Diceros bicornis minor: one gene and its partners. The protein of the gene in region 2 interacts with the protein of the main gene of each other region in a pairwise test. Links are inferred from orthologs where the notes say so. Each region holds a gene or a part of one and is shown on either strand. Other genes may lie near its edges. The genes, in order: NEDD9, BANP, FOXR1 and PPIC.

Region 1 (7,641 bases), on a different chromosome or scaffold from region 2:
CTGAATAATATTCCATTGTATGCACATACCACAATTTGTTTATCCATTCTTCTGTTGATGGACATTTAAGCTGTTTCCACTTTTTGGCTATTGTGAATAGTACTGCTATGAAAATGCACGTATATGTACATATTGGAGTCCCTGTTTTCAATTCTTTTGGATATATAACTAGGAGTAGAATTGCTGGGTCATATGGTAATTTTATTTTTAACTTTTCAAGAAGCCATCCTAGTCTTCTTGGAGAGCTCCTTCTCCTCCTCTTCATATATAAGTGTTAGAATTTCTTGAGGTTCAACCCTAAGCCACCCTCCTCTTTTCTTATTTGATACTCTCAAGTATGTATCATCCATACCCCTGGCTTCAGTTACCATCTATATGACAAGCATCCCCCAGATCTCTGCTCTGAGCTCTATCCAGATGTTGATCAATGACAACTGCCTGGCTAATGTCTGCCTTTGCATGTCTGCTAGGCCTTCCAAAATCATCAGCTCCAGAACTGAACTAACCCTGGGCCTGGTCTCCACCAGCGTTTCCAGTCTCTGTGACCAGCAAGCAGCATCAATATCCATTTGGATGCCGAAACCAGGAAACAGGATCATCTTTGACACTTCCCCCTCGTTTTCCTTTCCTGTCCACCACCAAGTCCTGTTGATTTTCCTTTCTAAATGGCTCTTTAATTTGTCTAATTCTATCTCCACTCCTACCACCCTTGTCTTGTCTGTACTCCCACAGACATCCTTGCCTGGCTGACTTCATCAACCTAACTAGTCTCCCTGTCTGTAGGCGTGCCTCCTCCCATCCATTCTCCACATTGTATCAAAAGGGATTCCTTAACATGAAAGGGGTAATAGGGCATGTGTGTACAGCGGTAATTAGTCTTTGGGTGGTGAACATGACGTAGTCTACACAGAAATTGAAATATAATGATGTATATCTGAAATTTATATAATGTTATAAACCAATGTTACCTCAATAAAAAAAAAAATGCAGATCAGTTCACAACACCCCTACCTTCTCCAACACTTTTAGAATAAGCAGCATCTTTAACCTGGTCCCTCAGGCTCACCTTGAGCCACCCCCCTCTTCCCTCTGGCCATACTGGCTATAATTTTGCAGGACAATTCTGTGGCCTTCCACCTCGGGGTGTGGTATAGGCTGTTCCCTTTGCCTTGTGAACTCCTACACCTCTTTCAGTTCTCATATCTGCCTTCCTTATGGAAACCTCCCTGACTCCCAGATGAGATCAGGTTCCCCCGCGACACGTTCTGGTCCTCATCATATTTATGTAATCATTAACGTCTGCCTCTCCCTTCAACCGTAAGCTTTTTGGGGGCAGGGCAACGTCAGTTTTGCTCCATCTTATGTAAGTTTTGACTTAAAAGTGGCTGCCACGCAGTGAATACTCACTAGATAGTTGTTAAATAAATGAACTAATTAATGAGAAATGGTGGAGCTCTAACTCAAAACTGATTTCATATTCTTTCCTTTCCACAGCTCCACTTTGCCCCGTTCTTAGAACAGGAATGTCCTTGAAAATAACCCAACTCAGGAGGAAACAGAAACAAGGAGGAAAACCGCTTGGCTGGTTCCCAGGGTTCTGTCAAGGACAATTGCTCTTCACACCCACTTCTGGATGGGAAACTAGCTTCCCCACTAAGGGAAAGGACAGGCTCCTCAAGCAGGAGTTAAAAAGCCTGGGGCACCCACTCTCCCCTCTCATCACCAGCACAGGGAAAAGCCTGCTCGCCCATCTCCACCAGCTTTAAACAACAGAAAACCCTTTTAGAATGACTCTCCCTCTTTCAAGTTGTATGTGTTCTTCATTTTGAAGTAATTTCAGCAAGATAAAAGAGTTGCCTCAAATCCCTTGTGGGAAAAAGGCAATTGAATGAATGAATGAGTTAAACGAATTAATAAATATAGAGAAAAGGAAGGATGGAGCTGTTGCGGTGGCCCAATGTGGACAGGCAGAGCACAGTGTAATCTGTCCCCAGCCCCTTAGAGATGATGCTAATGACCAGCTCTCTGCAGAGCTGGGACACACACTGAAGCCAGTTCTCAATCGCTGCTTCTTGCCCCTCAGGAGTCATTCCCAGAGTGGCTGAAAATGATATTATCAATGACTCTAATCTACCATCAAGTGTGAGTGGCAGCCCACACTTTAAAGTACTGAAAGAGTTGAGGAGAGTAAAAGCTCAGCTTAGCACAGGAGAACTCTCTGATGATGGTAGGAATTGGGGAGGAGCCTCTACTCTACACACCAGGAAGCACTACCCAGGATGATTTTAAAAATAGAATCAGAGGCCAGTCCCCTGGCTTAGCGGTTAAGTGCATGTGCTCCGCTACTGGCGGCCCGGGGTCGGATCCCGGGCGCACATCAACGCACCGCTTCTCCGGCCATGCTGAGGCTGCGTCCCACATACAGCAACTGGAAGGATGTGTAACTATGACATACAACTATCTATTGGGGTTTTGGGGGGAAAAAAAAAGGAGGAGGATTGGCAACAGATGTTAGCTCAGAGCCGGTCTTCCTCAGCAAAAAGAGGAGGATTAGCACGGATGTTAGCTCAGGGCTGATCTTCCTCACAAAAAAAAAAAAAAAAAAATAGAATCAGGTAGGTTTTAAGTTGCCTTAAAGCCAGTACCTCCAGGTTAACTTGAATGAGGTCTAGAGCCATCCTTCCTCCTTTGGGGCATGTTAAGTCCCTCCCAGCTTCGGTTAAGGGGTGTTAACAGTGGGGAATACCACCAGATGTCTGACACCAACTCAGGAAGTCCGAGTCTGAGTGAGTCTCCCCTGTTCCTCCCCTCAGGCCACAGCAAGTGTCTGAGAACTCACCCAGGGCAGCACCACTGTTGGTGGATCATCTGGTATCCCTGGCGTTCTTGCCCTCTCTCCGAGTGGGCAGGCAGGAGGTGGCAGCTCAGTCCTGCCCCACGATTAGGCTTCTTTCCTGCTGCAGTCTCCGGGCTTGCTTCTAAAGGCAGCTGTAAGCATTTCCCCACTGAGCAACCACACGTAGAATGTGAGAGGCGTAGGTATGTGTGTGTTTTTCCTTCCGGTTGCTCTGAAGTGATGTTGTCTCAGTTCATTTCCTCTCTGTGTTCTCTGTCAGACCTCCTGACACACTGCGGATATCTGCAGTTTAGGGGCAGGTAAGAAATATAGTTCTACTCTGCACCATTTCCTAATTTGAGAAAGATAGGTGATCTGCACATTATTATTGCAATGAAATTCTGTGCAATGTACTTCCTTAGTGGTTTAAGCTCCTTTCTAGGCTGCATTGAGGCAAAAATTTAGGCTATTTTAGGCCAACCAAGTCAGGATTTTGTGGTTTTATGGACTCAATATGTTCCAAAGAGTTTCACTGTAAATTGACATGAAACATTCTTTCATTTGACAAGTATTTATTGAGCCTGTACTGTGACAAGCGCCCTGCTAGGGGGTAACTACCCACGTGGAAAATTCCTGTGTACAATGTGGTGTGGAAGCTCAGATTTGAGTATGTGGAAGGGAACTAGAAAGTTACTTAGCCTCACAGCCCTAGTCTTCTTCTAGCTGTGCTTTTGAGTAGCAAACAAGTGGATATACTCTGAGGCCAATACCCAGGTGTGAATTATGGCTCTACCTTTCAAATAAATGCTTTTGATCTTTCTGTGCCTCAGCTTCCTCATCTGTAAAATGGGAATAACCATAGGATTATTGTGAGAATTAAGTGAGTTAGTGTATGAAAACACCCAGAGAGTGCCTGGGACAAATAAATAAGCAGTATACAAGAGTTTGCTATTATTATTAGTGGCAAATTATGCTATTATAAGCTCAATCATTTCCTTTTTTCCTTCTTTTCTCCACTTCTCACCTCGTGCCTAGGAAATGACTGGGGGACATAGAGGGTTGAAGAGAGGGGAGATAGTTTGAATAGGTGATACTCCCCAAATGATCCAGTGGTGCTTGATGCTTCTGCTCCATCACCAAGACAAGGAAAGGACTGTTGTTGGCCCCCTCTCGTCTTCACACTCTGCTCATGTTGTGTGTTGCACTCTCGTGACTTTTGCTGTTTTGTTTTAATTTCCCATAACACTTCTCTGAAATTCAGATCCATGTCATTTATTTTTAAATGTTGAGCTGGCCTGAATCATATTGAAGAATACTCGGCCCTTTAGCAGATGCCACATTTAAACAAAGAAGCGAACACACGGCTCAATGCCTTGTGCAACTGGGGCTTATAAATACATCAATAACAAGAGCATCTGTATAAATCATCACACATAGTCACATCTATAAGTGTAATTAGCAATGTTCATGGTGAAAATATCATCATAGTACTCTGTCGTTTTTCTTTTTCTCCCCTTTCCTTAAAACACCACTCTTGGGGACATGCTATATTTCAATAATTGTTTCAGATTGGAAGTAGAATTATCCTATTTCCAAGTTTTTATTTTATAGTGCAGAGTATTCATCGTAAATCAATAGAGGTAAGGGAGATGTTCAGACAAATGCACGTTTTTTCAAAATGTCCCTCTATGCATTTCTCAGTATACCATATCAGGTATTATTTTCTTCACTAGATATTTAAGCAGTATAAATTTAAATGTGTAAGTTTCAGAAAAAATACTTTACAGTTATATATAATAACTCAAAGATTAATAATAGAGTTGTCTCCATAAGTCAATGACACTCTAGATATACTAAAAAAAAAACCTGGGGTGTCAGGCCCGGTGGTGCAGCGGTTAAGTGCGTGTGCTCCATTGTGGCGGCCCGGGGCTCGCCGGTTCGGATCCGGGGCGTGCACCGATGCACCGCTTGTTAAGCCATGTTGTGGCGGCGTCCCATATAAGATAGAGGAAGATGGGCACAGATGTTAGCCCAGGGCCAGTCTTCCTCAGCAAAAAAGAGGAGGACTGGCATTGGATGTTAGCTCAGGGCTGGTCTTCCTCACAAAAAAAATAATAAAAAAATAAGCCTGGGCTTCTTTTAAATAAAGTACTTAAGTTTCGTGACTTGATTATCCTTAACTCCGTTCTTTCGTCTCCATCCTCATGGCTTCTTTTCCCACTCTGAGCTGCCTGGACCTCCCACTGTTGAGTTCTTCTTCCAAATAGAGAAGGCATACCTGTCAAGGCAAACTAGGAGCTCAGATTTTGTCCAAAAACAGATGAGACTTGTTTTAGACAAATAAGTTAAATATTTTTCCCACTTGGTAAGATGAAGGTTTTTCTATGTCTGTTTTCCTACTTACAGTCTTAAATTTTCTTACCTTTTTTTGATTTGTTTTCTCCTTTTTGATTAGTGGCAGGTTATGCCACGTGCCAAAATTTTGACAAATCACAGATGGTTCTGACAAAAAACAAACAACCGTAATTTCTAATCACTCTGTCCAATGAAGATGGCGTCTACATTTCCATCTTCATTTGAACAGTTTTCTTGGCTGCTTTAATCAACTTCTTCATGCCATCTTCGTTAGCTGGAATCTCCGTTAACACCGCAGCGTGTTTCTAACTACCTGTTAAGCAGTAGCCAAACCCCAGGCAACTGTTTTGAATTTGTCATGGATGTTTGGTCCAAGGAGCGATTGTTGTATGGGCTGGAGGCTGAGGAGTGGTAGAGAGAGAAGCGAGGAGAATTTGAGAAAAGAAAAAGGTTAAAAAATCCGTGGCCAAGTTGCGTGTGTGTGTATATATGTGTGTGTGTGTATTTATGATTCCATTTGCTTGACTCATTTCCCTCCACAACTGAAGACAGTATTAGCCATATGGAATCAGCTGCCCACTGAGCAATTTAAATGAATATGCTCAAGAGTTGGTTTGGCAAGTTTTAATAGCAAATTTGTCTAGTGTTATAACGTATGCCTCATCCCTGCTGGAGAATGCGAGTCAGTCTTGAGGTTTTCATTTTTAGTTGAAGAAATCAGAGCTCAAAAAGATCCAGTTCATTTGTCCATTCAATAACTGTTGTGTACCTGCAAACTCCTCTGAGCTTTTTGGTGCATTTTTGATACATCAATCCACGAAACACAGGGCTTGCCCTCAAGAAACTCCTAGCTTGGTGGGGAGTTAATCTAGTGAGATAACTATTCCCATTAATTGGTTCATTCATGATATTAAAAGCACTTATGAATTTGTGCTATGATAACTGAAAAATGAATGAGAATCAGCTCCTTCCATAGGAGAAATTTCAGTCTAGTAGGCATGGCAAAATGGACATCATCCACCTTCCTCTTCTGCTCTCTTGCCATTTACAATTCTCCTTTTCTCTCTATCATAACAGGACGTCTTTGTCTTCCACCTCCTCTGTTCTCCCAGTCCATCAACCAAATCCTGGAGTCTAGCACTCTCACATTGCCAGAACGTCATGACCAGCTATTTCAGCAACATGTCGATTTCCTTGTTCTTGTTCCTCCGGGTGTTCACCCATTTCCAGCCATAGACAGAAGCTCAATCTACTTTTTCTCATGCTCCAGAGCTGCCCAGACTCACTGGGGAAAGTTAACAAAGGCAAATTTGTTTCCTTGCAAACTCCTCCCGCTCAAACCTCAACTGAGGCCCTCATGCTTCTCAGGAATCTTCTTATTCGTCCCCCACTGACTATCTGTCACGTCGTCTTTCCAAACTTCTCTCACTCTCCAGAAGCTCTGAGCCCAGCCCTCACCTCATGCCATGCCTAGGTTCAGAGCTGCTGGTGTGAGCTCTTTCAGCATCCCTCATGGTCTCTGCAGAAGTTTACCCTTCCATCTGTCCCGTTCCTCATTCTCTGCCTGTTCTTCAATCCTTTGAATTATAGCTTCAAGACTTACCACTTGGTTAATCATAATAGTAATAGCTACCACTTTTGATGTTTATCATTAGTAGGTAAATGACATTGGCCATGATGAAACCATTCTTCTAGCTCACGGAACAGCTGTTTGAAAAAACATGGGCACCTAGAAGAGCAAAGGGAAGAAAAACTGAATTATTTTTAAGAGAGAACTGATGGGGTGAATTTAGAAGATTCTGACTTATTGGAAGCATTCGTTGTATTTGGGCATCTGGCAGGCACCAAACACTGGTTTCTCCATTACTTATATCCTGTTCACCTATCCCTCTACTGGATGATAACCATCTTTGACTTCCCAAAAAATAATTGCGTAAATCTCGTTAGTGTTAGCGTAAAACTCGTTAGTTTCTCCATATTTTTTGAAATTAATTTTTAAAATCTACAAGTAATAAATTTATATTGTAAAAAACTAAAGTTGCAGATAAAACCAAAGTGCCTTTTGACAATTAGCCCTAATTTCAGTTCCCTCCCCTGCTTTGCCCACAGTGAATCACTGTTATCTGTCTGGGATGTACTCTTCCAGGACATTTTCTAGATGTTTATATAAATATATGTAACCACTGTCAATTTGCAATTGTGCATGTGTGCAGTCTCACACTGGAGTATGCTGTGCACACAAACAGAACATGAGACTGAAACCATTATATTACCCTCGGTTTCTGAGGGAACTGTATAAACTGCTGTTCTGGTTTCACATGAAATAGCAATTTGAAAACATCTTATTCACGAGAATATAAAAAATAAAACTACATTGCTGTGTTAGACTGTTGAAGAGATTAGACTCCTCAGTTTTTTCTGACTTTTGCCCATTTGTTTCCTAAATATAC
Region 2 (7,587 bases):
CATTTGAGGACCCAGCACAGTAGTAAGTTCCCAATCACCCAAAGGGAAACCCACGTATTTTCAAGACGAGCCCCACAGACTCGGAGCTTTCTGCCCACTTCCTCTTGCCTTAGACAATAATTACCAATATTTGAGGAGCACTTGCTATATGAAACAAGAAGCCACCAAGTTAAAAAAGAAAACAACAGTGACACTAGAGGAAACAAGAAATCAGAGAACAAAAAGAGAACTAAAACCCTTATTTGTATCCTCAGAGTCAAGGAGACAACGAATGTATTCATAAAACAATAAGTTTCTATGAAAAAAAACAGAAAAAATAAGCTCTTGGACATTAAAATTTCGATTGTGGAAATAAAAACTTAAAATAAGATTGGAAGATAAACTGAAGCCCTTTCCCAGAAATGAGAATAAAATGACACAGGAAGAAGACAAAGAGATTCAGGGGGTCAATCCAAGATGACCATCATCAAACAGGAACCCAAATTGAGAAGAGTAAAAGCAAAGTGGAAGAAATTCTCAAATAAATGATACAAGAGAATTTCCCAGAGTCAAAGAGCATTCGGAATGGGATTCCACATTTTTTGACACTCTGGGAATGTCCTAAAACCAAAGAGGATCCTTAAGAGTTACCCAAAAGGAATACATCTACTTGGCAGAAGGTTCTCATTGAAATGATGAAGGAAGCCAAGATTAAAACATGGAGTCCTGAACAAACCCAGATGTATAAGAAAAGAAAATATCAGGATAATACCTGTGCTGGCCTAAAAATCAATCCAGACTGGAAAAAGAGAACAGAGGGCTGGGGAGGAGGGGGAAAGTTGGAGAGATGTGACACTATCCTTGAGAATTTAAAACAATATAAGCAGTCAATGGGAGCAGAAAACGCAAAGAAAAAGAAAGGCCATTACAAACGACAGCAAACACATCAAGCTGTGTGAGGGAAATGCATTACTTGGCTGTGAAGCAAACAATATCTGCAGTTACAAACCATCTGAGTTAACTGAACATAGTGAATTCAGGGTATAGAGGAGTGAGATCCGACAGGAGAGCTAAAGCATCCTTTCGTAACAAAAAGTCAACAATGTGTAAAATCAACAAAACACCAGCTTATTGTTGAGAGCTTTGGAGACCTTCCTGAAGAAACAACAAAAACACAAGTCTTTGGGGAGTGGGACTGAAAGGCGGCACAGGGGACTGCTGCTTTCGCCGTATGGACACCTCACCTGGACGCTACGTGACAACACGAAGCGCACGTCTGCACTGTTAAGCGCACAGCCTCCAGACAGCTCACCGCGGCTCCGTGGCCTCGGCGGCCCCTAGCCTCCCGGCCTCAGCGCCTCCTCTGTCAGACGGAGCGGTCTCGGCCTCCCCGCGTCGTCGTGTCGGGAGTCACCGGAAAGGGTCAGCAGTCCCGGCCACAGCACACGACCCAGAAATGGCAGCTGACTTTTCAAAATTAAAGCCCACGATGACACAGTCCAACATCCCAAGAACATATTCTTGTTCTCATTGCAAGACAGAGGGGAAAGGAGCTGAACATACAGAACGAACTGTGCGGGCAATTCTGGCGTTTCCCCACCGGACGTTTGTCCAGGGCTGGCCCACAAGCCGAACGTCAACGACATCACCTGCGCTCTGAGGGGCGCCTCCCTCCCGCACGTCCTGAGGACCACGCAACTGCCCCGTCAGCCTCCGTCTCCCAAACCTCCGTGCCCCTGCCCCCTCAGAAGGACGGTCCGCTCTCGTCACCAGTCACCTCGGGGCTGCGCAGCAGCGCCGTCGGGCGGACGGGCGACTCCCCGCGGAGATCACCTGTCCCCGTCGTCGGACTGTGAGCGGGCCTCGGGGCGGGCTCCCTACGCTGGAGGCCCGGGTCCGCGTTCTCAGGGGAGGTGACTCCTCCGCCCCGCCCCCGGCCCCCAGGGAGACCCGGCCCCCCGAGGCGGCGTCCTCAGTGCGCACAGCGGGGCACGGGCTGTGAGGACAGCACCTCCGTGCAAAAAGCTAAGGCCACAACTCGAAAAGATGCAATCACAGACACGGCAAAAAATACTGGGGGGGGGCGGGGAGGGGGGCGACAGCCGCCTCCACCGAGGCCCCCAGCCGCCCCCTCCCGGCCTGCCCCCGTTCCCTCTCCCTCGTGAACCCCGCCATCAGAGGCTCCGCGTCTGCGTCCCGACGCCCGGGCTCCGTTTCACGGGCCCCGCGGGCGCTCGATCGGAAGTCCGCCTGACGGGGCGCGACACCGCGGGGCGTTCTGTGCCTTCTCGGTTTTTCCACTTTCCCAAACAGGTGACAACCCGGCCGGCACGTCCGGCAGCCGCGAGCGTCCGTCCGGGCGCGGGGGCCGGCGGGGCCGCTCCCACGGGGGGGACGCAGGGCCGGGCCGCCCCCGCCCGTCCACGGCCCGCACGGCAGTGGGGGGAGATGCACAGAAGCGGATACCACCCTCCTCGGGGAACGCGAGTGCGCAGGGCCCGGGACCGAGGCGGTCAAGCCCCCGGCCGGGCGGACGGGGCCGGCGGGACGGCGGGGAACTGACGGGACCAGGGCTCTGAGGGCGGACGGCAGGACCCGGGCAGGAGGGCCCGGAGGGCTAACAGGTCCGAGGGCGCTGAGGGGGCGGCGGGGACGGGGTCAGGTCCGGAGGAGCTGAGGAGGCGGCGGGGCTGAGGGGGCGAGGCCGGGGCCCGAGGGCGCGGAGACGGCTGAGGGGGCCGAGCGGGCGGCGGGCCGGGGGCCTGAGGAGGCTGAAGGGGCGGCGGGCCGTCCGCGGCCCGGACAGGGTGTCCCGGGCGGGGGCGGCGGGCGCGGCGGCCGGAGGAGGGCGCAGGGTGGAGGGAGGAGGGGAGATCTCGCTCTCGCTCTCGCCCCGCGGGAAGGGGGAGGTGGAGACGCGACCGACTGCGGGAGCTGCAATTACCGTGTGGGCTGCGGAATTCTCGTGGTGTTTGTCGGGGAGATGCGATAATGGCGTCCGTCCTCGCGAGAGAAGCCGCGGGTCTGCGCAGGCGCCAGGAGTCCCTCCCCGCGGCCCTCCGCCCTGCACCGTCTGCGCAGGCTCCCTGGGCGGGGCGCTCCGAGAGCGGGGGCGGGGAAGGGGGCGGGGCTTGCCGCTCGTGGCCTCCCGAGGTCGCTGTCGCCTGCGCCGACGACCGCAGAGCATGCGCACGCGTCCTTCTTCCGTGCCACAGTTTGGGCCCTGCAGAGTTCTTTCTTCCCCATCGTGCGCTCGGTCTCCTCGCTAGGCCGTGAGAAGTCGCGTCGGTGGACCGTTGGAAGAATTTGCATTTTCTTTGAGGCTGAATGAATAGGAATTAGCTCCCCCCCCATGACTACATATCCCGGGGGGCCCTGCGCGAACCGCGAGCAGTGCATCCTGGGGCTTGTAGTCCGTGCCTCTGCGCCATGCTTTGCCGGTACTTGTAGTCTGTCCGCACTCCGGTCGCGTGTCCCGCGCGCGCCCCTTGGGCCACTGGGACTTGTAGTTCAGATGCTCGAGGCAGCTGCGCCCGGCCCGTGCTCCGGTTCCGGCGGGGTTCCCCCAAATACTGGTGGTGTTCAAGGGTCCCCAGCGTCTGTCCAGACAGTCGCGAGTGCACGCGCGTGGAAACAATATATATAAATTATATGCCTATGCATTTTTATGTAATTAATATATTATGTATAATATGTATATATGTAATGTATAAGCTATATTACATATGAATATAAATATAGTATGAATGTGGTTATATTATATTTATATAGCGTAAATGCGCCTTTGTGGGTACTGGTAGGGAAAAATCCCTATTCCCCTACCTGGAAATAGACAATTCCCAGAAACTTTCCTGCTTCTCTATCTCTGTGTGCTGGCGTTACCATTGCTTTTCATTTTTCTTCTTTATACGTACTCACCTCTATTTTCCGAGTTATTTACAATGATCATCCAAACACAAAACGAGGGAGCTGTTTTCATTTGAAAAATAAAACGCTTTTCCCAGAGTCTCCTGCCCCCTTCCCTTTCCCACTAATGAAAACGTGATTCAGGGCAGTAACCAGCTGTGCGGCCTGGGGCAACCTTGTTGAGTTAGCATGTCCTCCAGGATTTAACACCAGGGGTTCTGCTGAGGCCGGGCGCTGGATTCCTTTGCAGGAAAAGTGCCTTAAAGAAATTCCAAAGAACCACAGAAAGTCAGTGCTGGAAAAGATGCTGATATTGAAATGACATCTGTCCTGTTTAGAGTTGAGGAACAGTCTCAGAGAGATTGCAAAAATTGTTCAGCAAGGACACACAGAAGTGGGGTTTGGAATCAGAAACACCTTGGTCTAGAGTCTGCTCACAGTGGGGAAGAGAATTGAAAAGCTAACCACAAAAATCCTGAGAGAGGACCAGGGGAGAAAAGTTCTGGAGAGCCGTGCTTTCTAGCCCCACCTCTGCCTCAATCACAGAGGAATCTAAACTCATAACTATGTAAGAATTGTTAACATAAATACGTGAATATCCAACTAGAAAGCCGATAAATGTAGGGTGATATTTTTCACATTATTTCAAAATATCACAAAGTCCTCGTCTGAGCTCTCTTTCAGGTATGGGTTTGCCTGCTCCTTCCTGCCCAGCAGGGAAATTGGCTCCAACGCACAGCTCCTGGGATATTGGGAGGATTCATTGAAGCAGAGTTTGTAAAGGGTTTAGCAGAGGGTCTGACTCAGGAAATGATCACGTTACCATGTGTTGAGTTACCACACCTCAAGCCAGGCACATCTTATTATGATCCCTATTCTTTGTGAACAACATGAAGTTCAGAGAAGTTAAGCTACACACCCAGGGTCACACAGCTATGGCTGTGTTAGAGCTTTGAGGAGGAAGGTTGTGAGATGTCACAGGAAAGGTAGTTAGGATGTGGGCTATGCAGGTCCTTATTGGCCAAGGGACAAATTTTGTCTTGATCCTCAAGTAATGGAAAGGCTTTACAAGGTTTGGGGCAAGGGTGTATATGATCAGATTTGCATATTCAAAAGTCACTCAGGCTGGAGTGCTGGAAAATGAATTGAGGGTGGGAGGAGGGGTACTGATTTGGAGGGAGCATTTGAGGAGGCTATGGCAGGGGTCCAGGCAAGAGATGATGGAGGCCTGGACTAGGGTGGTCACAATGGAGACTGAGATGCAGAGAAGTGGACAGAATCAAGAGATTCCAAGGGGTGAAATCAATAGGACCTGCCCCTGAATCTGATACTGAGGAGTAAGGGAGTAAGGGAGAGGGGGCATCAGGGATGCAGCCTGGGTCTGCAGACATGTAAAACTGGAGAGACCGAAGCACCATTCCCTGAGATGGGGAACTCTGGGCACCACTGGCCACTGGCCACCACCCATGGCTGTGGAGACTGCCCTGAACAATGCCCTGTTGTAGCTGGTCCACCATGGGGGCCTCTTCTGTAATTCCTCCCCCACCCCAGGACACCTCTTTCTGCTTCACACAGAGGCACTTATGGGATAAGGTTTGGGGGTGAACTGGAGTCTTGGGGATAGAGCTCATAGGATAATTCAGGGGAAATGGGAAGAAGCAGCACCCAGCACCCACCAGAGCCCCATCTGCCCCTGCCATGGATTCCACCCAGACCTGAGACAGGCCATGGCCACATGTTCTGGACAGTCAAGAGATTTAAGGACCAGGAAGTGATGTCAGCAACATGGCGGAATAGGAGGTCCCCCATCATATCCCACCTCAGCAACAATAATTTGGTAGCCATCCACAGACAGAAGACCCTTTGAGAGACCTTTGGGATCCAGGTAGAGACTGTGAAACATTGGTGGAGCCCAAGACCAAGCAGGGTCATTGTGAGTCAGCCTGCACCCAGGTGTCTGACTTGCTGACCTTGGTCTCAGTCACAGACCCAGAATCAGGCCCATCCTCCCATGGACTTGACTGCAGCTCCATTTGGCCTTTGTCCTGCCACCAGCACCACCTGCCAAGGGACCTGGCAGGAATCAGGCCTGCCTATGCCTTTGGTAACAGGCCTGCTGAATTTGGTTCTGGCTGTGGGCCCTGAAGCGGCCCTGGGACCGGCTCTAGCCTCTCTTAGCCATGGTCCAGGAGCAGTCCTGCCCACTCAGGGACCCAGAGGAGACACACCTGTCTGTAATATGCTACCCCACATTAACAAAATGAAGGATAGAAATCATATGGTCATCTTAATAGATGAAGGAAAAGCATTTGACAAAACTCAACATCCTACATGATAAAAACCCTCAACAAACAGGGTATAGGAGAAACAAACCTCAATGTAATAAAGGCCATATATGACAAGCCCAGAGCTAACAACACACTCAACAGTGAAAGGTTGAAAGCTTTTCCTCCAAGCTCAGGAACAAGACAAAATGCCCACTCTCACCACTTCTATTCAACATAGGACTGGAAGCCCTAGCCAGAGCACTGAGGCAAGAAAAAGAAAAGGCACCTAAATCAGAAAGGAAGAAGTTAAATTGTCTCTATTTGCAGATGACATGATCTTGTACATAGAAAACCCTAAAGACTCCACCAAAAAACCGTTAGAACTAATAAATGAATTCAGTAAAGTTGCAGGATGCAAAATCAGCACACAGAAATCAGTTGTGTTTCTATGCACTAACAACAAACTGTCTGACAAAGAAATGAAGATGACAACCCCATTCACAACAGCATCAAAAGAATAAAATACTTAAGAATAAACTTTACGAAGGAGGTAAAAGACCTGTACACTGAAAATTGTAAGACACTGATGAAAGAAACTGAAGACACAAATAAATGGAAAGAGGTTCCGTGCTCATGGATTGGAAGAATTAATATTGTTAAAATGTCCATACTACTCAAAGCCATCTACAGACTCAATGCAATCCTTATCAAAATTCCAATGTCGTTTTCCACAGAAATAGAAAAACCAATCCTAAAATTTGTGTGAAACCACAAAAGACCCCAAATAGCCAAAGCAATCCTGAGAAAGAACAAAGCTGGAGGCATCATGATCCCTGACTTCAAGCTATATTACAAAGCTATAGTAATCAAAACAGTATGGTGTTGGCATAAAAATAGACATATAGATCAATGGAGCAGAATACAGAGCCCAGAAATAAACCCACACATATTTGGTCATCTAATCTTTGACAAGGGCACCAAGAATATACAATGAGGAAAGGACAGTCTCTTCAGTAAATGGTGGTGTTGTTGAATGAATATTCACATGCAAAAGAAGGAAATTTGACCCCTATCTTACACCATACATAAAATTAACTCAAAATGGATGAAATACTTAAATATAAGACCTGAAACCATAAAACTCCTAGAAAAAAACAGAGGGAAAAAGCTCCTTGATATTGGTCTTGGCAATGATTTTTTGGATATGACACCAAAATCACAGGCAACAAAATAAAAAAAAAAAAAGAAAAGTGGGACTACATCATGCTAAAAAGTTTGGTGCAGCAAAATGAAAAGGCAACCTAAAGAATGGGAGAAAATATTTGCAAACCATCTATCTGATAATCAGTTAATATCCAAAATATATAAAGAACTCATACAACTCAATAGCTAAAAAACAACCTGATTTTAAAGTGGGCAGAGGACCTGAATAGAC
Region 3 (7,100 bases), on a different chromosome or scaffold from region 2:
TAATCAGGGTTGTGGTTTGGCCAAGCAAGTGCTCCAAAGCTATAGAGGGTCAAAGGAATTGATGGTGAATGCAAGTGCATGAGCATATCTGACCATGGGATTGCAAGTTAGTTAAAGAAGAGAGGACATCCAGTGATTGAGAGCAGTGAAAGGGTGACAGGATCAACAGATTGACGGTCTCAGTGGGATCAAAGGATAGTGCCTCTGTCTGTCTCCCTCCCTCCCTCTCTGGTACAGTTGCCTTCTCAAGGACAATGTTCCAATAATACTCTCCTCTCTTTCCTGTGTTATTAATTTTGTCTCTATTGGTTCACTCTCATTAGCATTCGTTAATTCTCTCATCTTATTAAAAACACCAACTTCTTTTGCCCCACTTTCTGTGCCAGGCCACTACTCCATATTTTTGCTTTCCTTTGAGGCAGAACTTCTTGGAAGAATTGTCTATACTTTGTCTCCACTTCCCCTCCTTCTACTCTTAAACCCTTGCCAATCAGGCTTTGGCCTCCACCACTCCACCAAAACCACTATCATCTGCTTTGCTGAATCCAATTGTCAGTCTACCTCTTACTGGTTTTCTCAGCAGCATTCCTCTCATCTGACCACGCCTTCCTTGAAACACTTTCTTGATTTGGTTTCCAGGAGAACACACTCTCTTAGTTTTCATGCTCAATGGTCATTTCCTCAGTTTTTGCCATTTATCTATCTTCGCTCTAATCTCTTTACAATGGACTGCCCCCAGGGCTCATCCTTAGTCCTTCTCTGTCTTCTCTATTCTCACTCCTTAAATGCCATCTATATACCAAAGACTGTCAAAATTTATATCTACAATCCACACCTCACTCCAGAACTCCAGACTTATATATCCACTTGTTTACTCAACATGTCTACTTGGATATCTAAAAACTATCTCAAACTCAGCATGTCCAGAACAGAATTCCTGATCTTCATCCCTAAACTTGTCCTACCAGAAGCTTCCCCCATCTCAGTACAAGGCAACTCCATCCTTCCACTTGATCAAAAACTCAGAGAAGTCATCCTCTAATTTCTCTTTCTTACACCACACATCAAACCCATCAGCAAATCCAGCTAGTTCTACCTTCTCACTACATCCTCTGCTACCACCCTAGAGGTCCACTGGACCATCATCTCTTGTCTGGATTGTAAGCAGCCTCCTAACTAGTCTCTCAGCTTCTAGGCTCCTAGTCTCTCTACATTTACAGCAGCCACAGTGATCTTTTCAGAATATAGATCATGCAGGATTGGCTCCATAAATTTCAGGGCCCAGTGCAAAATGAAAATGTGGAGCTCTTTGTTCAAAAGTTATTAAAAGTCTCAAGACAGTGATGGTAGAGCATTAAACCAAGTATAGGCACCCTATGCAACTGTACAGCAGGCTGCATACTCATGACGCTGAAGATCATGTCACTCCTCTGCTCCAACTCTTTTAACCATGCTGCTTCTTACTTAAAGTCAAGCCCAACATCCTTAAAGTGGATCTTCCTGATCTCTGCTCCACACCCTCTAATCTCTTTATTTACTTTAATCCAGCCTCACTGGCCTCTTTACTGTTCCTCAAACACTCCAGGCATATTCCTTCCTTAGGGCTTTTGCACTGGCTATTTCTTCTGCCTGGGAAACATTTCCCCTAAATATCCTCTTGGCTCACTATCTCACCTCCTTCAGCCCTCTGCTCAAATATATGTTCCCAGTGAAGTGCAACCTGATGACCCTACTTAAAACTATAGCTGCCACCACCTCCTCCCCCAACCCATTCCAGAAACCTCTTACTGTCTCCTCTTTCTCCTATCTCAGTTATCACCTTATAACATATTTTTTATGTGAGTTGTCTGTCTGCCCCCAGTAGAATGCAAGCTCCACGCAGCCTTTTCAGTTTTGTTCATTATGCTTCACGAGTGTCTAGAACAGTGCCTGGCAAATTGCAGGTGCTCAATAAATATTTCTTGAATCAGTGAAGATATAGGAACGTGCATCAGCACTACTTATGGTGGCAAAGAGCAGGAGGCAATCTAGGTCTCCATTAGTAAGGAGAATTAAAAGGCAAAAGGAAGTATATGCAGATGATAGAATACTAAACATCAGTCAGAAATGATGAACCAGATCTGCCTTTAGCAACCAGAATAGCTCTCAAAAACAATGTGAGTAGGGGAAAAAAGCTGAGCATTATGTAAATTAAGGTCACCTCTGAATACAAAATAATGCTAAATAGTTTTCAAAGATACACTTAGCTAAAGACATTGCATGGATTAGGGTAAATACATGGGCGTGTGGGAGGTGATGGAAGTGAGGGTGGAGGAGGAAGGGGAAAAATGAGTTACTCCAAGTACCTTGCCAAACAGATGGCAATGAAGTACCATGAATGTAGGTGATTACCTCAGCTCTCTGCACTTGAGGGCCAAAGAAAAAATTTTAAAGACCACAAGTCAACCATTCAGTCAGCAAATATTGAGCACCTCTAGGTGTCAGGCAATGTATTAACAGGTGGGGATAGAGCCTCGAACAAAATTGATAACTAAATTTTTTAAAAATGAGTAAAATATGTAGTGTGCCAAACAGCGCCAGGCGCCATGGAGGAAAAGCCGAGAAGAGGCCTAGAAAGTTCTGGGTCGGAGCTGGGCGGGTTGGGTCAAGAAGAAGGCCGCTGGGTTTGGGCAGGACCGCTGCCCTCTGTGAGCTTGCAGTCCAGGCGGCGGCCCAATTGCCACTCGGCGAGGAGGGGGTGGGGGAGGGGGCTCCGGGACTCAGCAAAGGGGGCGCAGGACCCCGAAGCTCTACGCCGCCAACCAGGCTCAGCCAGGGAAAGGAGGAGGTCGAAGGCTGGGGGGCCCACTGGCCTGGGCGCTCCCGCGAGCTCCCCCACCCCCCACCGCGCCGGCACGCCCCCCCCCCTCCGGCCCCCCTCCTTCCCCGGGACTCACGGTTCTGCTGCACTAAGGGCAGGTGCGCTGTGGTGAAGGCCAGAAAGGACTCTTTCTCCATGTCCCAGTCCAGCAGTCCCGGGACCTGGCCATGGAGGCTGGCCCAGAAGTCGAGGTGTCGAAGTTTCAGGTCCACCTTTAGGGGGAGGAGAGCCCGGCAGGGGGTGGGAGAGTCGGAGAGACTGAGGCTGAGGCCTCAGAGGCACGTCCTCAAATACCCGGGTCTGATTGACTTAGTTGGAGGCAGCTCAGGTGTGGAGAGTCCCTATTTGACGCCTTGAAGCTCCTCTGGCCTCGGCTGACTACTCTATACGACGACGTCTTTCCTCAACCCCCTTCCTGCGCTTTCATTTTGAGGTCTGGGGACCTTGGGGGTCCGGAAGGGGGTATCCCAGCTCCTCTTGCCCCTCTATATTTGCACAAAGCTCTTCTTTTAGGTAGTCAATTAGTCTACCTTTTAAGAATGATCCCCTGAGAGTATTAATAGCTACTTTCTAGAAGTTCTGATCGATTTTACCGTTTATCTAAGATCGCATCTGTGGTGGTACATGGTGGAGATACGATTGAAGGGTGATTTTTAAATTTTGTTTTTAATGATTTCAAATTTACAGAAAAATCCCAAGGATACTATAAAGAATTCCTGTATACCTAAATCCTGTAATTCACCAATTACACCAATTATTAACATTTTATCACATTTTAATTTTTTTCTCCATATGTATAAAACATGTATTCTTTTTCCTGAACTATGTGAGAGTAGTTTGCAGACATCATGTCCCTTTACCCATAAATACTTAAGTGTGTATTTCCTAAAAAGAAGGATATTGGCTTAGATAACCAGAAAATCAGAAATGGGAAAATCATTAAAATAAAAAATTTAACGTTGATTCAATACTATATTTAACGTACAGATCCTATTCAGATTTCATCAATTGTCCCAATAATGTTGTTCATATAAATTTGTTTTCTGGTCTAGGATCCAATTCGGGATCATACAGCATAGTTATATATTTTATTATTTTTGTGTGTGTGTGAGGAAGACTGGCCCTGAGCTAACATTTGTTGCCAATCTTCCTCTTTTTTGCTGAGGAAGATTGGCGCTGAGCTAACATCTGTGCCCATCTTCCTCTATTTTCTATGTGGGATGCTACCACAGCACGGCTTGATGAGTGGTATCTTGGTCCACACCTGGGATCTGAACCCGCCAACCCTAGGCTGCTGAAGCTGACAAACATAACCACTGTGGGGCACTGGGCTGGCGCCAACGCAGTGTATTTAATTTTCATATCTCTTTTAATCTGGAGAGTTTCTCAGCCTTTGTAATCTTTCATAACATTTAACATTTTTTGAAGAGTACAGGCCATTTATTTTGTAGAATGTGTTTTAGTTTAGATTTGTCTGATGTTTCCTTATAATTAGACTTAGATTATGCATTTTTGGCAAAAATACTACAGATATGATGTTATTAGTCCTTCTTAGTACATCGCCTCAAGAGGCACATGATGTCAATTTGTCTCATTATTAGTGATGTTAACTTCAATCACTTGGTTTAGTGGTGTCCACCAGGTTTCTCTACTGTAAAGTTACCTTTATTTTTCTTTTGTAATTAGTAAGCAATCTGTAGGGAGATACTTTGATCTGAAATCCTGTTCCTCATCAAATTTGGACCCACTAATTCTAGCATCTATTTATGATTCTTGCCTGAATCAATCATTACTATGATGGGAGTAAAATGACTTTTCTAAATTGATCATTACTTTTCCATTTATTTCGTTGGCATTCTATTGTGAGGAAGAGCATTTCCTTATCCCATACTTGTTTGTTTGTTTATTATCAGTATGGACTCAAAGGATTCTTATTTTGTAGAGTGGATTATAATTCATTACTATCATTATTTGTTTTAATCCTCAAATTGTCCCAGATTTGGCCAGTGGGTGAGGCAGCCCCCTCTGGTTCCTTTGTGCGTCCTGAGTTCCCCATTAGAGCCCATCCACGCTGTACTGTGTTGCCTGGTGCTTATCTACTAGACCAGAAACTTGGAGAATACTTGGTGCATAGGAGACCCCCGATAAGTGTTGTAACTACATTGAAAACGACAGCCTCCTTTTTAAAAGTTTGCTGGGACTCTACCTTTAATACCAATAATTTTGATGATAATTTCCCTAATTGTAAAAATAATACACATTTGGGGCCAGCCCTGGGGGCACAGTGGTTAAGTTAGCATGCTCAGTGGCCTGGCATTCACAGGTTCGAATCCCAGGTACGGACATATGCACCACTCATCAAGCCATGTGTGGCGGTGTCCCACATAAAAAATAGAGGAAGATGGGCATAGATATTAGCTCAGGGCTAATCTTCCTCAGCAAAAAGAAGAGGATTGGCAACAGATATTAGCTCAGAGCCAATCTGCCTCACCAAAATAATAATAATAATACATGTTTGATGCAGAAAACTTGAAAGTATAGAAAGCACAGAGGAAAAAACAATAAAAAAAATCATTCTTTGTATTAACCAGAGATAATTGATTACATTTTGATGTATATCCTTCCAGTCTTTTTCCTTATGAGTGTTTCATTTTTGTTTTGTAAAAAAAAAGTTACTGTAATGCAACCACCCCTTTCAAATTAGTGTACCATTTAAGAATGTTTATATCATATAAATCATGTATCTGATAAGGGATTAACATCCAGAATATATAGAGAACTCCTACAACCCATCAAAAAAACCAAACAACCCAATTTAAAAATGGACAAAGGACTTGCATAGACATTGCTCCAAAGAAGATATACAAATGTCCAATAAGCACATGAAAAGATGCTCAACATTATTAATCATTAAAGTGCAAATCAGGGCCGGCCCCGTGGCTTGGCGGTTAAGTGCGTGCGCTCCGCTGCTGGCGGCCCCGGTTTGGAGCCCGGGATTGCACCGACGTACCGCTTCTCCGGCCATGCTGAGGCCGCGTCCCACGTACAGCAACTGGAAGGATGTGCAGCTATGACAGACAACTATCTACTGGGGCGTTGGGGGAAAAATAAATAAATAAAATCTTTAAAAAAAAAAAAAAGTGCAAATCAAAACCACAATGAGATACCACTTCATATCCATTGGGATGGTTATTATGAAAACAAACAAACAAAACACAGAAAGTACCAAGTGTTGGGCCGGCCCTGTGGCTTAGCGGTTAAGTGCGTGCGCTCCACTACTGGTGGCCCGGGGTTCGGATCCCGGGCGCGCACCGATGCACTGCATCTCTGGCCATGCTGAGGCCGTGTCCCACATACAGCAACTAGAAGAATGTGCAACTATGACATACAACTATCTGCTGGGGCTTTGGGGGAAAAAAAAAAGGAGTAGGATTGGCAATAGATGTTAGCTCAGAGCCGGTCTTCCTCAGCAAAAAGAGATTGTTATCTCAGGGCTGATCTTCTTCACAAAAAAAAAAAAAAGAAAGTAACAAGTGGTGACTAGGACGCGGAGAAATTGGAAGCCTCGTGCATTGCTGGTGGGAATGTAAAATGGTGCAGCCCCTCAAAAAATTAAACGTAGAATTACCGTATGACCTAGCCATCCCACTTCTGGGCAAATACCCAAAAGAACTGAAGTCAGAGACTTGAACAGAGATTTGTACACCTACATTCATAGCAGCATTATTCATAATAGCTAAAAAGTGGAAACAATCCAAATGTCCATTAGTGGGTGTATGGATAAACAAAATGTGGTCTATACATACAATGGAATATTATTTAGCCTTAAAAAGGAATGAAATTCTAATACATGCTACACCATGGATGAATCTTAAAAACATTATGCTAAGTGAAATAAGCCAGACACAAAAGGACAAATTTTGTACAATTGTACTTTTATGAGATACCTAGAATAGCCAAATTCATAGAGACAGAAAGTAGAATGATGGTTGCCAAGGCGGGTGAGGGGAATAGGGAGTTATTGTTTAATGGGTACAGAATTTCTGTTTGGGATGATGAAAAAGTTCTGGAGATGGATAGTGGTGGTGGTTGCACAACAATGTCAATGAACTTAATGCCACTGAACATACACTTAAAAATGGTTAAAAGTAAATTTTATGTTATGTTTATTTTACCACAATTAAAAAGATGTTTATGTCAATAATCTCCAAATGTTGCTGCACAATGGAATCTCCTGGGG
Region 4 (7,388 bases), on a different chromosome or scaffold from region 2:
TCCCAGGTAGGTATCATTTCTATCTCCATTTACAGAGGAGGAAACAGAGCATCAGACTTAGATAACTTGCCCAAGGTCACCCGGTCATAGCCTCTTGGCCACTCCATGCTGTAGAAAGTGCCAGCAAGCTGTGACGTGAGTGCAGCTGGAAAGATGGAAGCATTAATTTCAATACTCTGGGTGCCTGACTTTGCACAGAACCCATGGCATCTGCTGGAAAATGCAGGGCTGCAAATGCCAATCTGGTGGACTTGGAGACCTGTGAACTAGAGCCCTGAAGCTGAGACAGTGGCTGGCAGCAGGATTCACCACACACTGAGTGCCATTAAACGGCCCTGTGTGGGGACAGCACCTCACACCTCTCTTATTTACAGATTGCTATTTTTAATTGAAATCAGAGAAAAAGGAAAAGACTGCTGGGGAAAACAATACACTAGAGCAACGGCCAATTAATCTACTTTTCCACACTTAGAGAAATACTTTTTAATGTCTCTATTTTCCAATACATTTAGTTGTTTTAAAAAGTCCACTGAAAAAGTAATTCAACAGAGTTGAGTCTGTGGAAGACTTGCCTACACAATTAGCTTTTAGAATTTAATGATAAATTTGGTGGGGGAAAAAAGGAGATACATTAAGTGACAATTCCGAGAGCAGACACATGAAAACTTCCTCAGTGACAGCACCCTAGACTAGGGGCTAAGATGCTCCCACTCTTCCCCTCCTACAGCCACCAGCTTCCTCCCCTCTTGGCTCCCTCTTCTAGAGGTTCCCAACCCAGGCGGCACACCCCAGAGATTGTGACTGACTTGCTCTGGGGTGGGTCTCTGCATGGAGAGGTTTAAAAGCTTCCCAGGTGAAGCTTGTGCCCAAATATTGCAGGTCATGTACTCACACTGAGAAATCTAACTGGGCTTCCCGCAATCCTACTCCCTTTCCCCCACCCGCATCTAAACCGTCAGCAAGTTCTGTTAGTTATACTTCAAAAACCTCTTTCAAGTCCCTCCCTTGCTCCCCATTTCTGCCATTACCACCCTAATCCAAGCCACCATCATCTGGACTCTGACATGGAGCCCTGGATGACCTCCCTGTTCACTCTCCACTGAGCAACCACAGTAATTGTTTAAAAGCATATATGAGATCATGCCATCCCATGCTTAAAACCCTTCCTCCGCTCTCACTGCACCTAAGTAAGCCCTCAAATTATAAGAATAATTGCCTCAAACCCACAGTCATAACTGTGGCCTCTAAGGTCCTGCATGATCTTGCTACTGCTCAGCCCTCCAACCTCATCTCAAGCCACTCCCCTCTCATCCCTGGGCTGAAGCCACACTGTCGCCTTTCTCCATCCTCTGCACACACGGATGGCTTTTCTGTCTGCAGGCCTTTGCACATGCAGTTCCCTTTGCCTTCTAAGTCTTTGCCAGGCTATTTGTGCTTATCCTTCAGGTATTTTTAAATGTCATCCAACCTGTATTAGGGTTTATTTCCTTCATCATTTCATAATTTTATAAATTTTATGTTTACGGCTATATCCCAAGAGACCCAAATAGTATTAGCGGACTGAAAGAACCCCCCTCCCCAACCCCTTCAGCTCTGTGGCCTTATACAAGGCATTTCCCAAAACTGGATAGGACCCAAAGATTAAGGGCTGGGAGTAGAATCAGTGCTTAAAACAATCAGGCTAAGTTTATCTCACACTCCCCCCCCCCCCCCCCCCCCCGCAGCATGGCATGGCCTTTTGGCTCACTCTTAGGCTACATCAGACGTTGGGCTGAACCTCCTAGACCCCCTCGTCCTCCCACTCCTCGGCGGGGTCTGTGGTGGAGGATTTGAACATTCTACTAGTTCAGCAGTATCATTTCCACTGGCAAACACCCGACTGCTTGTTAAGATCACTTGCAGCTGCCCTTCCTTCCAGATTCCAAGACGCATAGTGCCTGTGGGTTTTTCTAGAAGTGGTGATCAAGGCACCACCAAATCACTCCCTCTCTTCCTACCTCCCTCCTCCTCCTCTCCCTGCACCCTCCCATTATCTTCTAACCTTGGGTAAATATGCTGAAAAAAGAACCGAAGCTGTAAAGACACAGTTCATGGCAGATTTTTTTCCTCCCCTAATCGAGATGAAAAGGCTGGCCTCAGTCACACAGGTGACACTCGTGCCACGCTAGCACCTTCCCAAGCCCAGGGTCTACCCACCAGCCGCGGAAGTCTAAAAGCGCCCCTCTCGCTGCCGGGGGAGGACGACGGTTGCTACACAGAGCAGAAGGCGGCCAGCCTCCCGTTTGGGCCAGGCGGGGAACGGCGGCCCGGGCAGCCCGCGGCAGGGGCTGCACCTGGGCTCTTCCAGGCCGGGTGACAGCCGCGGCGGGCCGGCCGGCTGCAAACCCGCGGCTCGGAGCGCGTCTCCTCCGCCCGTCCCCGTCCCTCCCACATTCTTCCTGCTTCTGTTCCCAAGTCCCCGCCACGCCGAAGGAAGTACTCGGCCAGTCTCCTTCCTGGAGAAACGACCCACCGGTTCCGGAAGCTTCTCCCAGCCCCCGGGCTGGACACGTCGGACCACCGACCCGGGAGGCTAAGTTCAAACAGTCGGCGCCGGGGGCGGGCTGGGACTCCGCCCAGCGCCCCCAAAGTCTCCCACGAGAGCGCGCCCCCCGCGCGCGGGCGACCCCCTCCCACCTAGCCCCCCGCCGCCTCCCGCCTTCTGCGCCAGGGAAGCCAGCCCCCTCCTCGCCGCCCCTGACGCTGAGGTCCCAGTCCCCAAAGCTCCCCAATCCCCGTGGCCGGCACGAGGGGAAGTTGCTGCTCGCCGCTCGGTCACCTTGGCTGTCACCGAGGGGCCTCGCTTGCGAACTCCCGAGGCCCCCGAAGAAGACACGAGCGCGCCGAGCCCCATGCAGAGCATGAGAGGTAGCAGCAGCCGGGGACCCGGGTCCATGGTGAGCGGTGGCAGTGGTGGCAGCGGCTCGGGCACGACCGCAGGCGCCGGGACTGTTGGCGGGACTCCCGGCCAGCTGCGCCTGCGCGCTCCCGGTTGCGGGGGATGGGGATGCGGATGGGGATGGGCGGCCGGGGCAGAGCCGGAACCCAGGGTGCGCTCCTCCCAAGTTCAGCCCAGCGACCCGAACTAGGGACTCGGAGAGGCGCGCCGCAGAGGGCGTAGCCGGGTCCCACCGCCGCGCCTGCGGCGGGTGCGCTGGGCGCCAGGGCCCGGAGCGAGGCCGCGCGGCGGGGGCGCGGCGCCCCGGAGAGGCGCGCACACGGGGCGCGGCAGGCTCGGCCCGGAGCCCGAGAGCTGAGGGTGCGCGGGGACATCTCCAGGAACCTACCGCGTAGGCGCCTGTTAAACCTCACGGAAAGTCGAGGACGCTCCGGAGCCGCCTGGCAACTTGCGCGCCGCCGGGCTGGGGACTCTGCCGACGGTCCGGGTCTGTAACCGCAGCTGCCCTTGGAGTAGCCTCCGCCGCGCCTGCCAGGTTCCAATGTTCCGTCAGAGACTTTAGCTAAGTTTTGGACGCCTCTCGGAACTTTGGGACCGACTCCTGAATGGGTTGACTCGATTACACATGATGAATGACCTCTCATTGAGATGATTCAAGTTGGAGATATAATTTTTACAAATTTAATAATTGTTTGGGAAGATTCTTTAATGACGCGGGGAAGGGCTCATTATATTTTTAAATGGAAAACTCAGGTTGCAAAATCCCCTAGAAATTCTGATCTCAACTGTGAAAATAAATATATAAAGGCATTTTAAAAATGGAAAGAAATGCACCAAAACATTTACAGTAGCTATGGTGATAGAATTATGGAATTTTGTTTTCTTTGTAATTTTCTGATTTCCCAGATGTTCTCCATTGAACTTGTAAGTATTTTATAATCAGGAAAACGTTATTCTAAAACTCAATGCTTTTTGAATTAAGACTTCAAAAGAACTTTTTCATTTTAAAGTAATAGCTCCAAATTCACTACAAATTGATAATAGTATTCTCTTGGTTTTCTTAGGGGCTGGTGCCGTGACTTGCAAGCCAAGATTTCCCTTGGGTAAGCAGATAGGATTCCTATGTGTAACTAAGTGGAGATCTAAAATTACATTGGAAGTGTTCATTGTATGTAAAAGGAGTAACCGCTGCTTTTGAGGGGTGGGCAGAACGCTTCTGAACTACTTTGACAATTTAGTCCAGGGAAGAAGGATTTAAAGGCTTTCCTCATCACCCCCACCTCCAATAAAGAAAGAGGCCCCCTTTTGTAGCCAGCTAAGGGTATCAGAGCGCTAATCTCACTGAGTAACTACATATATTTACCTGTATTCATTACTGTAATTGTTTTTGTCTGTCTCTGCTATCAGTGACGTGCCACCAGAGCAGAGCCAGAGCAGAGCCTGTATTTATTCCTTTTGATGACCTAGATCTAGTACCATGCCTGGCACATACTGATTTCTCAATAAATATTTGTTCAATGAAAGAACAATGAATGTGTCTGTCCAACTTCTTTTTAAAAATCTTTTTCTTGGGAAGATTGATACAAATAAAGAAAAGTGCACAAAAGGTAAATGTACAGATCAACGAATTATCACAAAGCAAACATAACTAGGACCCACCCCCCCAAAGAAATGAAATGTTCGCCAGCTCTCTAGAAACTCCTCTTGTACCCACTCCCGATTACTAACACTTTCTTCTCCCCAAGTTAACCACAATCCTGACTTCTTACATTATGATTTAGTTTTGTTTAAACTTTATATGAATGGAATCTTATAGCATGTTTTCTTTTGCTTGAATTTATATTTGTGAAATTCATCCATGTTTTTGCCTATAGCTCTTTTGGTGCATAGCACAAGGTAGGGGTCAAATTCAGTTTCTTTTTCAATATGAATATCCACTTGTCCCAGCACAATCTATTGAAAAGTCTCTCCTTTACTCACTGCTCTGTAATGCTACTTCTGTCATGGAACAAGTGTCCATACATGCATGGGTCTGTTTGTGGGCCCTCTCTTCTGTCCCATTGGCATATTTGTTTATTTTTGTGCCAATATCACATTGTCTTAATGAAAATAGCTTTATGATAAGTCTTCATATTTAGTAGTACAAGTCCTCTCACTTTGTTCAGTGGATTCTTGGCTGTTCTTGACCTTTTCCATGTCTATCTAAACTTGAGAATCAGTTTTCATAAACTGGATTTTGATTGGGATTGCATGGCATCTATAGATCATTTTGGAAGGATGTGGCATATTTGTAATATTGAGTTTTCCAATTCATGAACATGGCATATTCCTCCATTTATTAGGTCTTCTTTAATTTCTCTCAGTAAAATTTTATAGTTGTCTGCCTAGAGATCTTAACATATTTTGTTAGATTGATTTCAAGGTGTTTGTTTTTTATATGCTATTGTAAATTCTATCTTTTTAAATATTTATTTTCCTATTTGTTGCTATTATATTGTAAATGTAATTTTGTGTATTAATCTTGAATAGATCAACTTTGTTGAACTTATTAATTCTAATAATTTATCTGGGAATTATGTAGGATTTTCTATGTAGACAACTATCTCATCCATGAATAATGACAGTTTTATTTCTTCCTTTCTAATCTTTAGACCTTTCATTTCTTTTTCTTGCCTTATTGCACTGGCTAGGACCCTCAGTACAAAAGGAAGTGGCAATAGTGGGAGTTCTTATTTTGTGGGTTAAATTGTGTCCTCCCAAAAGATATGTTAAAGTCCTAAACCCCAGTATCTGTCAATGTGACCTTATTTGAAAATAGGGTCTTTGCAGATGTAATAAGTTAAGATAAGGTCATACTGGAGGAGAGTGTGCCCTACTGCAATATAACTGGTGTCCTTATAAAAAGAAGAGAGACAAAGACATACACAGAGGAAAATACCATACGAAGACAGAGACAGAGATGAGAGTGATGCATCTATAAGCCAAGGGATACCAAAGATTGCTGGCAACCAGCAGAACCTAGGAAGAGGCAACGAAGGACCCTCCCCTAAAGCCTTCAGAGAGAACATGGCCCTGCTAACACCTTGATTTCAGACTTCTAGCCTCCAGAACTGTGAGACAATATGTTTCTGTTATTTTAAGCCACACAGCTTGTGGTACTTTGTTACTACAGCCTTAGAAAACCAATAAACTTGCTTGGTCCCAATCCCAGAGGAAAAGCTTTCACTATTTCACCATTAAGAATGATATTTGCTGAAGGTTCTTTTGGGAAGGGATATCCTTTTTCAGCTTAAGAAAATTTCTTTCTAGTCCTAGTTTGTTTTTATCATGAATTTGATACACATAATCTATTGAAATTAGCTGAAATAATCAGATGATTTTTTTCCCTTACTCTGTTAATGTGGTAAATTGCATTGATTTGCAAATCTTAACACAACCTTGCATTCTGGAATACGCCCAACATGTAATACGTGGCCTTTTAATATATTATTGCATATGGTTTGCTCATTTTCTCTTTTAACAAACTTACAAAAAAACAAAAAAAGGTATTTCTTTTGATGTTCAAGGAAAAACAGTAGGTAAAGTGTGGCTTTCGCTTTCCAGTTCAGACCAAGCTGATTGTCAAAATCCCATTTTGATGTTAGTGGGTTAGTTTGCTAATCTTATGTTCAGGATATTTGCATCTATATTCAGAAGTCAGACTAGCCTGAAATTTTCCTTTCTTGGAATTTCCTGTAACTTTTTATATCAGGGTTATTATGGTCCTTTAACATGAGTTGGCAAATGGTAAATGTCTTTCCTATGTTCTGAAAGAGTTTGTGTAAGATTGCCATCATTTCTTCCTTGAATGTTTGTTAGAAGCCATGTGGGCTTGTAAAGTTTTAAATTGTAAATTTAATTTTTTAAATAGTAGAAGGATCATTCAAATTTTCTATTCTTCTGTCAATTTTTACATGTAGTATTTTTTGAAGAATTTATCCATTTCATTTGTATTTTAAGATTTACTTACATAAAGTTGCATAATATATCTTTTTATAATTTTTTAGGGCTGGAGGACCTGTAGTAAGGTCTTCTTTTTCATTCCTATTATTGGTTCTTTTTTCTTTTTCCTTGAATGGTTTCACCAAGGAAGCGGGTGAATATAATGCATTTGATTTTATTTCATTACTTTATGTTCTTAATTTTATTTTCTTTCTTCTACTTTCTTTGAGTTTAATTTACTGTTATTTTTCTATCTCCTCAAGATAGACTCTTAATTCATTGATTTTTTTCCCCTTTCTTCTTTTATATTGCTCTATGTGAAATTAAAGTAATAGAATTCCCCTTGACAAGCAAAGCTTTTGATGCTTCCCACAAATTTTGATATGTAGTTGTTTCATCAGCATTCAGCTAAAAATATTTTCTAATTTACACTTTTTTTTTCTTTTTCGGTCCATGTGATATTTAGAAG

What was found.
Region 1: the proteins of BANP (region 2) and NEDD9 interact in binary tests that used the Homo sapiens proteins (3 or more experiments, as listed by UniProt). The two-hybrid records come from large-scale screens. The link is inferred for Diceros bicornis minor from reciprocal best matches to the Homo sapiens genes BANP and NEDD9.
Region 3: the proteins of BANP (region 2) and FOXR1 interact in binary tests that used the Homo sapiens proteins (3 or more experiments, as listed by UniProt). The two-hybrid records come from large-scale screens. The link is inferred for Diceros bicornis minor from reciprocal best matches to the Homo sapiens genes BANP and FOXR1.
Region 4: the proteins of BANP (region 2) and PPIC interact in binary tests that used the Homo sapiens proteins (3 or more experiments, as listed by UniProt). The two-hybrid records come from large-scale screens. The link is inferred for Diceros bicornis minor from reciprocal best matches to the Homo sapiens genes BANP and PPIC.

Annotation. Positions count from the first base shown.
Region 1 is NC_080753.1:55,281,155-55,288,795, reverse strand, and holds the start of NEDD9 (enhancer of filamentation 1), read right to left. Parts: upstream 3,011-7,641; 5' UTR 2,840-3,010; intron 1-2,839. UniProt on the Homo sapiens protein: Scaffolding protein which plays a central coordinating role for tyrosine-kinase-based signaling related to cell adhesion. As a focal adhesion protein, plays a role in embryonic fibroblast migration.
Region 2 is NC_080771.1:36,394,484-36,402,070, reverse strand, and holds the start of BANP (protein BANP), read right to left. Parts: upstream 3,001-7,587; 5' UTR 2,924-3,000; intron 2,087-2,923; exon of another isoform or gene 1,224-2,086; intron 1-1,223. UniProt on the Homo sapiens protein: Controls V(D)J recombination during T-cell development by repressing T-cell receptor (TCR) beta enhancer function. Binds to scaffold/matrix attachment region beta (S/MARbeta), an ATC-rich DNA sequence located upstream of the TCR beta enhancer.
Region 3 is NC_080746.1:18,002,997-18,010,096, forward strand, and holds the start of FOXR1 (forkhead box protein R1), read right to left. Parts: upstream 3,013-7,100; 5' UTR 2,998-3,012; coding exon 2,937-2,997; intron 1-2,936. UniProt on the Homo sapiens protein: Transcription factor which acts as both an activator and a repressor.
Region 4 is NC_080740.1:43,990,660-43,998,047, forward strand, and holds the start of PPIC (peptidyl-prolyl cis-trans isomerase C), read right to left. Parts: upstream 3,005-7,388; 5' UTR 2,936-3,004; coding exon 2,819-2,935; intron 1-2,818. UniProt on the Homo sapiens protein: PPIase that catalyzes the cis-trans isomerization of proline imidic peptide bonds in oligopeptides and may therefore assist protein folding.